Coturnix japonica: one gene and its partner. The protein of the gene in region 1 purifies or fractionates together with the protein of each later gene. This does not show direct contact. Links are inferred from orthologs where the notes say so. Each region holds a gene or a part of one and is shown in the gene's direction. Other genes may lie near its edges.

Evidence for each region. The genes of interacting proteins can lie anywhere in the genome.
Region 2: the proteins of RAPGEF2 (region 1) and MAGI1 purify together in Homo sapiens (co-immunoprecipitation; 3 studies listed by BioGRID and IntAct, with this or other methods). This does not show direct contact. The link is inferred for Coturnix japonica from reciprocal best matches to the Homo sapiens genes RAPGEF2 and MAGI1.

What each region holds. Positions count from the first base shown.
Region 1 is NC_029519.1:19,618,555-19,625,236, forward strand, and holds part of RAPGEF2 (rap guanine nucleotide exchange factor 2), read left to right. Parts: intron 1-1,185; coding exon 1,186-1,745; intron 1,746-4,244; coding exon 4,245-4,550; intron 4,551-5,783; coding exon 5,784-5,809; 3' UTR 5,810-6,682. UniProt on the Homo sapiens protein: Functions as a guanine nucleotide exchange factor (GEF), which activates Rap and Ras family of small GTPases by exchanging bound GDP for free GTP in a cAMP-dependent manner.
Region 2 is NC_029527.1:11,504,036-11,511,262, reverse strand, and holds part of MAGI1 (membrane-associated guanylate kinase, WW and PDZ domain-containing protein 1), read left to right. Parts: intron 1-757; coding exon 758-850; intron 851-3,129; coding exon 3,130-3,312; intron 3,313-4,001; coding exon 4,002-4,622; intron 4,623-7,227. UniProt on the Homo sapiens protein: Plays a role in coupling actin fibers to cell junctions in endothelial cells, via its interaction with AMOTL2 and CDH5. May regulate acid-induced ASIC3 currents by modulating its expression at the cell surface.

The sequences.
Region 1 (6,682 bases):
ATGCAGTTATATCAGGAATGGCAGTAAGAGCAGAAATAGCTAATAATTTTCCAGTCTGTTTTTACAGAAAATTGCATTTTTATCTAGCTTAGAATTTTTTTACCCCAAATCTCTCTCCTAGTCACCAATAAAGCTAAAATTCATGTTTGAAGGTAAAATTCATGTTTGGCTGTTGGCTTTCAAAGTAATTTTCTAGATAATTAACTTCTGTAAAGATGTGTAAGCTAGCGCTGCAAGTAGTTCTCTGAATCTCTGTGAGCCTCGGTCTGAAAATATTTGAAGCTCTGATTTGTATTAGTCACCAATTGCTTTTTTGAGCTATTATTTGGAAGCTTTAGTTCTCTGGTTTTGAGGTTTATAGTCCTGTAGGGTCTGTGGATGACAGGCCTGTTCTGAAAGTGGTGTGCTTCAGCTCTGGGAATCCCAGGCTATGCAAGCTCTTTGATCAGATGTGTAAAATATTTGGAAGATAAAGGTCCCAATCTGCATAACAAGCTGCCCTGAAACCACAACTCACAGCAGCCCTGATAGTTGCTAAATGAAGCTGACACTTGATCAGTTTTCACTGCTGCTATGTAAGTGGTAGTGTCAGACTTGATCAGCCAGTGGAAGGCTACAGAGAACGTACTTGCTATAGGAAGTAATATGTTTTTCCAAAAGTAACAAAGTCAATTTCCTTTGCAAGAAATACTGGTAAGTTGTCATTCTGAGTTATGAATGAGCAGAGGTCTGAATCTGAGTTTCAGTCACTCAGTTTATAACTTTGAGTTATTTGCATTGCTTGTATGGAAAAATGGTAGGAACCTATATGTCAGTCTGCTCCCTTTTATTCTATGTATCTCAGTGGCATTTGCCTGTCTTAAAGGACTGCTGCAAAGTTAAGATTTTATATTTTGTGGAGGCTCCACTAACGTGTTTCATCAGGAGAGTTACCCAGTGTTCTTACTGATTCTGTTAAGGATAAGCTTAAAAGGAAAGTTTTCTATGCTCAAAATCAGATTAGTCATTAAACAACTACAACATAAATTGCATCAAAACTTTCAACATGCACTTTTTTGGGGTTTTTTTTTGTTTGTTTTGTTTTGTTTTGTTTTTTTTTTAACGTGCTAGTTCTTTGTGTGCTTTGTAAAAGATCTCTGCTTTCAGTGCTGGATTTTTTTGTTCCCCTCTTCAATGTGCATCTAGATCTTACGCACCACTGTCAGAGAACAGAGGCCTGTATGCTGGAGCTACTGTTCTGTCTTCTCCTAGTACAGAAGAACTGTCACAGGATCAAGGGGACAGAGCTTCACTCGATGCAGCTGACAGTGGCCGTGGTAGCTGGACTTCTTGTTCAAGTGGTTCTCATGACAACATACAAACAATACAGCACCAGAGAAGCTGGGAGACTCTGCCATTTGGACATGCTCATTTTGATAATTCGGGCGATGGGGCAGGACTGTGGGCCTCAGGCAGTCATGTGGACCAGCTGATGTTCTCTGATCATGGCACAAAGTATAGCCGGCAAAGTCAAGGTAGGGAGGGCCTCGATCAAGCACAGTCCAGAGCAAGCTGGGCATCCTCAACGGGCTACTGGGGAGAGGACTCAGAAGGTGACACAGGTACCATAAAGCGAAGGGGTGGGAAGGATGTTTCTATTGAAGCTGAAACTAGCTGCGGAACATCCATACCAGCAGAGGAGGCGAAGCCAGCTCCCATGCCCGCTCACATACCGGTAACATCAAGTACTACAAAGGGGCTTATTGGTAAGTTACATTTTACTTTAATTCACTTACCTACAGTGCTTAGCATTGTTCTAAACCTATTTTTCTTTTGTCTGGTTTGATTTTAAAGAATGGAATGTTTTGTAGTCTCTCAGTTTTTGCCCTGTAACTGTGTTTTTACTGCTAGAGAAATTATCACTTACAGCTGCTTCTCAGTTCTGGCAGCTCCTTTGTGTTTCAAGACAGCCTACCATACATCATAAAAAAACCAACTAGCTCAACTGCTGGGCAGTGTTTTGAGGAGCTGATGTATATAGGTGTCTGTTCTGAAATTTGAATTACTTTTCACAGTAAGCCTTTGTACTCTATATTTAGTCATCTTTTTTCTTTTTTTTAGAAGTGTTTTCCTTTCTACATTTGTATAACTAGTCTGATGATTCCTTACTTTTAAATGTTCCTTACTTCTAAAAATGCAGCTTTGTGTTTAGACACCAGCTGAGGCATTTCTTTAGATTACTGAAATTTAAGAGATTCCTAAGAAATTAGGGCTGTATTACATTTACAATCATCCAGTGAGGATGGATATAACATAAAGGTAGCTTTGGCAGTGTTTTTAACAATCCTCATATTTTTCCTTCTACACATCCCAGGTGTTACAGGGCCATCCAAGACCCTTCTACATTTTTTGCATCTTTCATTTCCCTTTGCTGTGAGTGCCTTTCCTCAGGTTATTATGAAGGGTTCTCTGAAAGCCATTTTGGTTTGACACAGCTGAAAAAGTCTGTCAGACAGAGGCCATGCTGAGACCATTATGATAAGGTGCTTTTCCATTTTCTGCCTTAGTATATTGCTTGCCTATTGCTGCAAAACTTGGGTGCAGCATTGAATCCTTGAACTGTGAAGGGGAGGAAGCTGGTCAGTTCAGGACTCAAGGTCCTGATTTGTGCCATTCTCTAATTTTACTCTTTGATGCACTTGGTTTCCACCAACAGGTGTGCTTCCAGACTCGCCTCTCATGACTGAGCTTGCCACTACATTTATATACACTGATAGACTTCAGAGAATGTGACAAAGATCCAAAAATTGCAGCTGTATAACTTCCATGCATTCAGTACTATTAACTGTGCTTGAAAATGCAGCTCTGTTTATCATGGATCTCTTGCAATAGTTCAATAGAATTTTTCAACAGAATTTATTCTATGTCAAAATTACTTGAAATGAAAATTACTGAAATCTTTGAATAAAAATTCTCAGAAGTTTCTTCATGTTGCTTTGCTCAATTACACGTGTTTGTCCAAGAAAAGTATTTAGATTCCATAGGAGACAATTTGGCTTGCTAATAGCAAGGCAAAAGCCAACCAGCCCAGTAAAACCATTTGTGAGCTGGTACTGCCCTTGCAGTCAATTTCATAGTGCATAATGCAGGGTGATGTTGTCCTCGTCACTTGTGCAAGAATATACAGGGCATGACAAGGCAGGAAGAGTAAGTTTGCTGTGCCAGGTTTTTTTTTCCTGCTGTGTTTGCTTTTGTATTGTAAGTAGTCACATTAAAGGGTTAGACTCACAAAAAAACTGTTCAGGGTCAGAGTCTTAATTAACTTCTTTAAACATGAAATTCCACAGTACAGAATCATGAAACCATTGTGCATCTGGTCTGTTCTTGAAGGTGTTTAAAACTCTTCATCACTGTTTCTTCCCTCAAATCTCTCTGCAAGGGTACACTGGTCATGGCCAGAGGTAACTCTTGTTCAGGTAAACAGAGAAACCTCAATGAGATCCACAAAGTATGTGGTCTTTCCTTCTCCCGCTCAAAATCTTATTCAATTAGTGTTCTTGCAGGAATGATTTCAAGACTTAATTCTGTAGAAATTAAAATCATAAGAGCAGTGGTTAGTGACGCATGCAAAAAGCATGAGAATGAGGTCCATTACTCTTATGTGTTGGAACTGTAGCTTTGCCTTAGTAAGGTTTTTAGAACCTTTTTTTTTTTCTATTTTATTTTGTTTTGTTTTATTTTATATTTATTTTATTTTATATCTATTTATTTATTTATTTTTTCCTTGCCTGCAAGTTTCTAAGAACAGAAGAGGTAAACTTTTAGGGGCAAAACTCATCTTCAAGATTAAGACTGGGATGGCATTTGGGGAGAAGCTGATATTCATGATGGCTGCCACTTTTGTGAACTCTTGTATCTCCCATATCACTGGTCTCTTTGACCAGTGAATGATTCATTCTGTGTAGTTGGTGGAGTAGCTTCAGCTGCTAAGTTAGAGCAAGTTCCTCATGTAATTTAGTGATTTAATTTCATTAATACTTCACTACTGGAACAATATTGGTATCACATGTATGTTGTATATTCTTAGTTTTCTCGTATAGTTTATTTTTCAGTATCTCATTATCTACTAAGTAGTATTTAACTTTCATCCTTCTTCAGGGCTTTTCTCCTTGGATCATGAGTTGATCAACATTTAACTCTCACTGTTCATTTTGATTTCATCAGCTTTCGTCTTATTACTTCATAACAATCTTTTTTTCTTGCAGCACGAAAAGAAGGTCGGTATCGGGAGCCACCTCCAACTCCTCCTGGTTATGTAGGAATACCTATTGCTGAGTTTGCAGAAGGTGTTTCCCATCCAACTAGAAAGCCTCCAGATTACAATGTTGCACTTCAGAGGTCTAGAATGGTGGCACGGACATGTGAGACCCATGGGACTTCGGCTCAACAGCAACAGTCACATGGCCATTCAACTAGCAGGCCTGTGAACAAACCTCAGTGGCATAAACCAAACGAGTCAGATCCACGTCTTGCTCACTATCAGTCTCAAGGGTTTCCCACAGATGAAGATGGTAAATTTCTTATTGTTAAATTTTAAGTGTGCTGCATGCAAATGTGTTCGTTGTTTTCAGTCACAAAGTAGATTATGCAAGTGATTGTTGCACTAGAAATTCTTGCTATAATTTGAGTTTCCATCTTTCAAGCCTTACTGTCTGTTTACTTTTTGGAAAAAGAAGAATTCAGTTCATGCAAAACATCATTTAAAATCTGGAATGTATGTCTGCCTTGAATCCTTGACAACCAAGCAGTTGGCTTAGGCAACTTCTTTTGAGGTGCCTACGTTCCAGATAAAAAGCCCTGGGTGCCCTGAAAATATCCAGTGTTTGGCACTAGCTCAAAATATTTATCTCAGTCTACAAATGCCTACCCCCAGAGAGCATCATTGGTCAGTTTTAGATGGATTATCACTCGGCGTTCTAGCTGAAACTCTTGTTGTGGATGCTGGGTCTTCCATACCAACTGCTTCACATGAATTTGCTATCTTGCTTGCCGATCTTTATGCTTTAGCTCAGGTATTGCAATATAAAGACCATACACACATAGTCTTTCTGTTATTTGGTGGCGTGTACGTGTAGCTGGATTGCATCTTCAGAGCTAGATGCTTGCAGCCTAAGCAGGATAATGCTCAAGTCACGCATCTGAATCTTTGATGCTCTGTTTTGTCTAATGGTAGAAAGGCTAACTTTCTCCTTCCCTCGCTAACTGCTTAGTTACTAAAGCTCTGTGTACAGCATGAACTCAGCAATCAAACATGACAAAAAGATGAGATCCCTTTAATAGGATTGCCTCAATCTTTAAGAACTACTGTGGCAGTTTGAGACTTTTAGTTGTATTTTACCAGTGACAGCAGAAGCCACAGTCATTTTTATGCAATCTTAAGTCAAATAACTCCCTAGGAAATAGTGTCAGATACATTCAAGGAAAAATGTAAGAACTGCTTTATGAAGCTACTAGATATTTAGGAACAGCTGTTGCATTCCAGTCCTGAGAATACTGCGCCCAGATCAACAATAGTGATTGTTCTATTTTCTTTGAGATGATAAAATGTCAGAGAAGTGCTTCTCATGAGACCTGAAATGTAAAGATATTTAGATAGTTGGTTTTTTGTTTTGTTTTCATTTGTTTTTTAATATACCTAACAGAGAGGAACAGAAAGCACATGAACATAGTACAGGTTGTTTCATTTAGTAGCGGTCTTCATCTACATGAACTAAATATTTTCCCCTGTCCTGTTGTGTTTGCAGAAGATGAACAAGTCTCTGCTGTGTAAGACTTGGGGCTTTTCTGGATCCAGAGTGAACCACCTTAAAGGAGAGCACAAGAAGACATCCCTAGAATAGGAGCCTTGGAACTATAGTTAAAGGATGGTGGACCTGTTTGCCTCCTTCCCTGCCTTAAAGCAGCATGGGGCTTCTTCCTCCACCCCCCTCAAACCCCCCTTCTGTCCCTTCTCCCCTTGCATGTGAAATACTGTGAAGAAATCGCCCTGGCACTTTTCAAACTGTGTTGCTTGAAATGCACAGTGCAGCAATCTCCAAGCTACCATTGTCGCTGTCTGCCACATCACACAGTATCATTCCAAATTCCAAGATCATCACATCAGGACGATAACTCTGGCTGCACTTCCCAATGCCTGGAAGGGTTTTTTAATCTTCCTTTTCAATTTTAATCGTGATCCTAGCACTTAGTCTCATTGGGATAATGAGATAAGCTAGTTGTCAACTTACGTTTGGCCTTTAACCTACCAAGAGTGGAATGCATTGAAATCCTTCAAGGAGGCAGTGCTTATTTGCTTGTTTACAATGCCTTTGTTACAATTTTGTACATTTGTGTTCTGAGATCAAATACTGCATCTGCCTAGTAATTACAGTATTATTTCCTACCTGTAAGTAGGGTTGCCAGCCTCAGCTCCCAGATAGCATCTACCTGCTGCGTGGCTGAGCAGGGCAGAAGGGAAGAGCTGCAGGATGCAGCCTTTCCCAACTGTCCAGCTTCTCTCTTAGCGTGTCCCACCTTGAAAGCTTCCAGATTTGTGCCCGTTAGTGGGGATGGCGTTGGGTCTAGGATCAGTGCAGAGCCATGCTCTTACAGCTCTCCAATGAAGGAACAGCGGTCACCATGCCTCGTACCTGTGCCTTGTGGG
Region 2 (7,227 bases), on another chromosome or scaffold:
ATGGTTTTGTCCTTTGTTCTGTGGCCATAATGTGTTCTAGAGGTAAAACGACACCCACAGGAAAGGCTGTTTGGGACTCATAGTCTACTGAAGGGAATGAGGAGTGAGCATTGTACACATATGCTAGAGAAACCCCTCTGCATGAGAGAGCTTTTGCATTTTGTGTAGCTCAGATATCTGAATTAATTTCATGATTTCAGAACACTTCACCCACCCCATTTTTTTCTCCTTTATTCATGTCTTAAAAAATGTTTTCCTTTTATTTTCTTTTTTAAAGCAACCCAATGGCAGTGAGGGACCTACAGGTTTCTTTCTGGACTTTCATAGATTTCCCACCCCTTGTTGAACAGCAGCTCCTGTCAAAGGGAGAGAAGACTTAGGTCTCAGCATTCATCCTACACCCCCAGTTACCGCAACATCATCCCTTCTATTTCTCAGTCAGGCTGAACTGATGTTGTGAGGACTGTGTAGAATAGCTTTAATGTAAATATTGAGACCACTTTGTTGCAAGTCCCGAGTGTGAGTGTGAGGAATACTGTCCGAGCACACACAGATTGATTGACTTAAACATAGAGGATCCTCCAGAGCTGTTTTTTGAACATCCCATTCATTTTGTTCCTTCTCTCTGTGTCTCTTTCTGTTCTTGCTATGCTTTACATGTCTCCTTTGCTCAAACCCACACTCCCAATGTGTGTACGTGGAGGAACTCATAGTGCTGTTGTGAAACGAGTAACATTTCCCTCTCTGCCCTCTCCAGAATGGACAGAGGAGTGTCCATCTCTCCCACCACCCGCTGCTCCAAACCTTGTTTCAAACAACCAAGAGACAGTTCGGGAAGCACCAGTGCAAGGTAACAACCTTGTTAAACCAGTTGTAAAAGCCCAACAAGTTTTTTTCCTGCAAAGGAAGTTCCCACCATAACCAATAAAGGGAGTATCACACACCAGTCCCCTAGACTTTGATACTAATTACCTCAAAACCACATTTGTTGCCAAATGTGAGGAGCAAACGTGATTACCTGAATGAAAAAACGAACCATGACTATTCTTCATGTAGTATCCCAAGTCTTCAAAAAGGCACAAAAATGTGATTTACATCAGTGGGATTTAACCACTGTACCTGCTGGATGCAGGTACAAATAGGGGATCTTTTGCTACAGAGCTGTATTGTTAGGCAAGGATTAGGCTTTTATGTCTTCATAGCTGAGTTTATGGCATGGCTCTTACAGTACGATCCATAGAAAATAGAAAATAGATTTCTTTTTGTTCACACAGGGCAGCCTTCCCTCCCAAAAACAAAATCATGCAAACCCTCCAGCACATTCCCATGGGATATTAGAGTATATTAGGGTAGTCCAGATTGGCACCAAGGAAAAACGTGTCTGGAGATGATGCCCTGTCCACCAGGCATCCAGCACTGGTCAGTTCATTTGAGTGCTGTTTTTATATACTGTTGAGATGGTACAAGGGCTGCCCAAACTCCATACCTGGCAATGCAGGACCCATTGTGCAGGGGACCTCACTCAGCTCTCCACCTGCTGCCGACTGCCATCCACCAAAATCTTGCACCAACATTTTTGTTAGCCTGCCTCAATGATGTTCTGGTCCACACTGATACTCCTTCTCTCTCTCACTCCTTCCTCTTCCTTTCTTAGTGCTGTTCCTCCTTCTCTTGCTCCCTGTTTGTAGCACTGTTCCCTGCTTCCCTGTCTCCTTGCCCTGCACCTGGGTGTTTCCATTTCCCTCTGGTGGCACTGCTGGGATCTTCCAGATACACTCCTTTAGAACATTCTCCCCTGCGAACACCATAGGTGTGACATAGCCTGTGATGCTACTGTCTCTTGTTACTAAGGGCAAGTTCAAGCCGTGTTAGTAGGCAGATGCTGGCAAGCTTTGCTTGTTCTGCTTATTTTTTTAACCAAAAATGAGCACAGGGCCAAACCCTGCTACAAGCTGCCTGTGTTTTTCTGCACCCTGGGGTCTGAGCACAGTATCTGCCTGCCATGTGCAGGATTGCCACATTCCTGTGCTACCCTTCAAAGGCAGAAGACGGACTCCTTGCACTGCCCCCTCATGAATAATCTTCAAATATACGTTTTATTTTTTTCCCCCATTCAAAGGCTTACAAGCCTCCAGTTTCCCTTAAGATTTGCTTTCTGAGCAGAGCCCCACGGCAATGCTGCCGAGGTTTCTGAAATCATGCCAGCACTGCTGGCTATGACACAGGCTGCTGATCCTGGAGCTGTCACCAGAGGGCTTAGTGGCACAGGCTTTTCCCCTCTAAACGTTAAAAATAATTAGAAGTTCAGAGGTGCGTAGTGTTGGCACTGTGAAGTACACAACCGTGACTCCTTTCCCATCCTGTGCAATGTGCTGTGCAAGGATGAGCTTTTGCTTTTGGAGCACCTTGTGCTCCCTTATCCATGCTCCCAGAGAGTATTAGCAGTCCTCCAGCACAGCCCCCCCCCCCCCCTAGGATTCAGGATGCTCTTTGATCCACCTTCACTACAGCACTGCTTCATCCACTGCAGGTGAGGAGCAGGAAGGAAGGAGTCAGGCTTGAAACCGTGTCTGAAGAGCAATGTCAGCATCCCCCCTGCTCCTCACCAGAGGAGGTGATAGGGGGGTAGTGATGATGGGATGGGCAGGGGATTAGCTGAAGGGTTACATGGTGTCTGAACATCGCTCTGGAGCTGCTGGAGAAAGCCAAGTATAATAAAACTATGATGCTAATTTCTACAGAAATTCTCACTGCCGACTCAATCTCATCCTTAGTGGAGAGGATAAAACCACCTCAAGACAGTGATAAGACGTATTATCAAACCAGCACTGCTAGCTTTAATGCATTCCCTTCCAAAAAAAGCCCTTTCCCCTTGTGTAGCCTCAGTACTGTGGTGCATCCAACCACAGCAAAGACAACAGCTGGAAGTCAGAGGGTTTTGTTCACTCCTTTCCCTGCGTGATTGGTGCCAGGGAGACAAGTGGAGGGCAGTGAGGTGACAGGGCAGCAGTCTGGTCCTGTCCCTGCTCCCTGCTGTTTATGCACTTGTTAGAATGCAGAGGGATGGAGGAAAAGAAGACCAAATGCTCTTGCCTGCCTTTTTATAGATTTTCCAAACTTCCTACACAGGGAAACCTTTTTTTACAAGAAACCCTTCTGAGTTGAAAGGGAAGTTCATCCACACGAAGTTAAGGAAAAGCAGCAGGGGGTTCGGCTTCACCGTCGTCGGAGGAGATGAGCCGGATGAGTTTCTGCAGATCAAAAGTTTGGTGCTTGACGGCCCTGCGGCGCTGGACGGCAAAATGGAGACAGGTACTGGTGCCATCACTCAAAATCACCCCCTTCACTTTGGTTTATGGTTTTGTGGCTGTTTTTATATGCAATTCAAAACAACCTTTAGTCCTCATCGTGTTTTTGGGGAAAGATGTTCAGCTTTCCGATCAGCAAGCAGGGAGGTGGGATGCAACAGGAGGAAATCCCAGTAGGGTTCACCTGAACATCACACGCTGAACATCCCTGTCTTACAGCCACAGTGTTAAAGAACTGAATGAGATTTCAGGCTGAAGTACGTCTGAGACGCGGTACATGGCACCGTATTTAAGCAGTTGCTGTTTGAGCCTTCTGTTACAGCTCTCAGTTTTGTTCCTGTCAGATGTCATTGTAGAGCAGGGTGTGACAGTGAGAGCTGGGCTTGGCAATAACTGCAAAATAGGCGATATATTGTTGCTTGAATTTATTACCTTTTTGCACGAACCAAATTCCATTTGCACTTTCAGAAAGTGTTTATGCACATGAAGGCTTTATGTGCTGAATCTTCTGTGTGCTAGTAGTTCTTGCTTGTCCAAATATTCTCACAGCTTTTCTTTGCAAAATACTTTAGTGCTGCTCTCTGCCCACAAGTGGCACCTGTGGGCTTCTGGGGCTCCAATTCTGTGTTCCTGAGGTGTACAAGTGTGGTGTGGCTGTATGCACCTGATATATCTCTCTTGTGTCCTCTGCAGGGGATGTCATAGTCAGCGTGAATGACACCTGTGTGCTGGGGCACACTCACGCCCAAGTTGTGAAAATCTTCCAGTCCATCCCCATTGGTGCCAGCGTGGACCTCGAACTGTGCCGAGGCTACCCCCTGCCCTTCGATCCCGATGACCCCAACACAAGCTTGGTGACGTCCGTGGCAATTTTGGACAAAGAGCCGATCATTGTGAACGGGCAGGAAAATTATGACTCCCCAGCCAGCCACAGTAGTAAAACAGGGAAAGTCAATGGCACAAAGGAAGCGAGACCCAGCAGCCCAGCTGAGGTCTCCTCCAACGGACCCCATGGGTACCCCAATGACACGGTCTCTTTGGCATCTTCAATAGCAACACAACCTGAACTGATAACTGTGCATATAGTGAAAGGGCCCATGGGCTTTGGCTTTACTATAGCAGACAGTCCCGGTGGGGGTGGCCAAAGGGTGAAACAAATTGTGGACAGCCCGCGATGCCGGGGCCTGAAGGAGGGTGACCTTATAGTCGAAGTCAACAAGAAGAATGTGCAGAGCCTCACTCACAACCAGGTGGTAGATATGCTGATTGAATGTCCGAAGGGAAGCGAAGTCACGTTGCTGGTGCAGCGAGGAGGTAAGTCTTTAAAACTACTTGAAAATATTTCTTCCTCAAATTATCCAAAAACATGCATGTCATGAAAGATCTGCTCCCTTAATCTTCAGTGTTGAAAAGGTTTGTGTCTGGAGGTGTGAGAACTGCTGCATGTTGGCAGTTGCTGCGTCAAATGGATGGTTAAAGTTATTTGTTGTTTGGTGCTTTGCTGGGGTGAATGTGCTTGCAGCTCCTGTGTGCTCTTGCACTACACACAGCTTCTGGTAGGGGGCAAGCGGGTTGTATGGTTACACCGTTGCCTTACATGACGTCCCCTGATCTGCTCATAAAACTTGATTTGTTTAAATAATGTGGGTATTTCTTGTGTTGTTTTGTGGGATGGAAGAGAATTGTGATATATTTTGTGGTTTGCAGCGTCCAAAGCCAGATAGCCATGGACTTTTCAGTGTGGAAGGGCTACACCTGGGATGCAGATTGTAACCTGGGTTGAAGGCAGAGCATTTAAACTTCCCCAGGTTGTGAGCAATTGAAGTGCTAATTCTTGACCTGTTTATCTGCTGATAATTATCTCCTGGCAATCAGGAGCTGAACTCAGTTTTGGTTGTGTTGCTGAAGCGCAGTGTTTTGCATGGATAATGCACACGTGGTGCTCAGCACCTTACAGGCACACTGCAGGGACAGAGGGGAGCAGAGCAAGGAGCAGAGGCCAAATGCAGCTCTGGGATCTGCACTGACTGTGAAAGTGCTGAAACCTTCCCAGAGTGTTTTAATTGTAGAAAATTAGCAACCAAAGCTGGTCTGTTGAATGGGGACACGCTGCCTTCTGAATTGGCAGCTCTGGTTTATTGTTTTTGAAGGGCTATTTCAAAGAATGGAGGACGTGGGTTCTGCAATTATTAGCAGTTCTGGAGCAAGCAAAGCCTTTCTTATCCTTCTTCTTTTCCGAGTGCTTACTTTACTGTAACATTTAGTTAGTAAATTAAAAAGTAGAGAACAGAATATATTATGAGTTCTCCAATTTTCCAAGTGTGAGTTCCCTGGAGACCTTCAATACTGGATAGGCTTAAAAAAAATGCACGGCAGACTCATGATTAATATATGTATTTTGGAAAAAATATGGTTGGAAGAAAGATAGCAGCTGTTATTAATTCTCCATGAGAGCACATACGTATCTGGTACCACCATACATTAATTATTTGAATTGTGGATGACATTTAATAATCCTTCTTATGGCTTGAAGGCATAATGAAAAGATTTGATGAGGAAATAAAAGCAGAGTTTTAATAGGATAGTAAATAGTTCTCTGGTAATCTTGCTGAGTCTCTTTCTTCTTTTGCCTTTGTTTTTTTGCTGAATTGAAATACTGAGCACATATTTAGTGTTTGCTGTCGCCTTCCCAGGTAGATGACGTGCCGGTCTTCTTGATCCCATTGCAGAAATACATTTGGCTCTGCAGTCTGTAAGCAAATTCAGGGCTCCTGGAGCAGCTCTTCCATACTGTCCCTATCAGTTGTCTTTTCCTCCTTCTCCCTCTGGTGTCCAGTGAAGAAAGTGCTCAGCTGCTGTCAGGCAGCCACACATAAGCCAGACATCTGCATTCAGATGGGCTCTGCATGGAGCATCCCTGCACTGCTACGACTGGTTCTGAGCTGTAGAAAGGATTTGTCAGAAATGATTATTACTAATCAGACAGTAAAATATCAGGAAGGGATGAGTCGTATATGTGACAAGGTTTGCCTGCTTGGAGCAGCTTGTATGCTCCCAACAAGATTTAATTGTTAAAGCTGAAGGGTCCTCTCTGCATGAAAATCATTTGTAAGGCTTGTGTGAGGCTATGGGGATGAATGCTTTAAGAGAGGGGCAGTGTCAGGTCATTGAAAGTTTGCTCTTAAGAGGTCCTGTGGAAGACCTGCTTTCCTAAGGGATAACATAATTGCCTGTAGATGCTAGGGCAGGACAGAGCAGATCCCTCAAGCCAAATAGAGATCTTGACTGAGGATCAAATGGGTGTTGTTTGGTTCTGAGTGATTTTAAACGGGTGAAGGTGCCAAGCCATTTGAGCCTGTAAGTTGGACTGGAGGAGGCAGGAGACCTTGCTGGGTAAAGCCCAGCAGATCTGAAGGGTGGCGTGGAGATGCTTGGCAGCAAAGGAAGTCTGTTCAAGGTCTGGATCCATGAAAGTGCCAGCGCTCCTAGTTACAAAATGAAGAGTTAAGCGTATGTGTTTGTCCCTGCAGTGCACTTGTTGTCATTGCACATCTCATTTATTTTAGAGATTTACTGTTAATAAGGTCACAAAAAGGCGTACCTTTAGTTCAGATATTTTTAATTGCAAAGAGGTCTTTAAACATGGAGCCTACCAAGTGAAGGCAAAGAAAGCAACAACAAAACAAAGGTATATTTACCACTTGAAATCCAATTTTCGTTGAAGCCTTGTCTGACCGGAGTGATTCAAATACCTCTCCATTCTGCATAGAATCTATTCATAATAAAAGCAACATTAGTTGGAATAATCTCCCTGTTTCCCAAGTGACTTCTATTGCAGGGAGCTGTGTCTGTGCCAGGACAGGTGGCGGATGTTTCAGAACAAGGGATTCTGCCAAACTACTGTGCTGCACTTATCTGG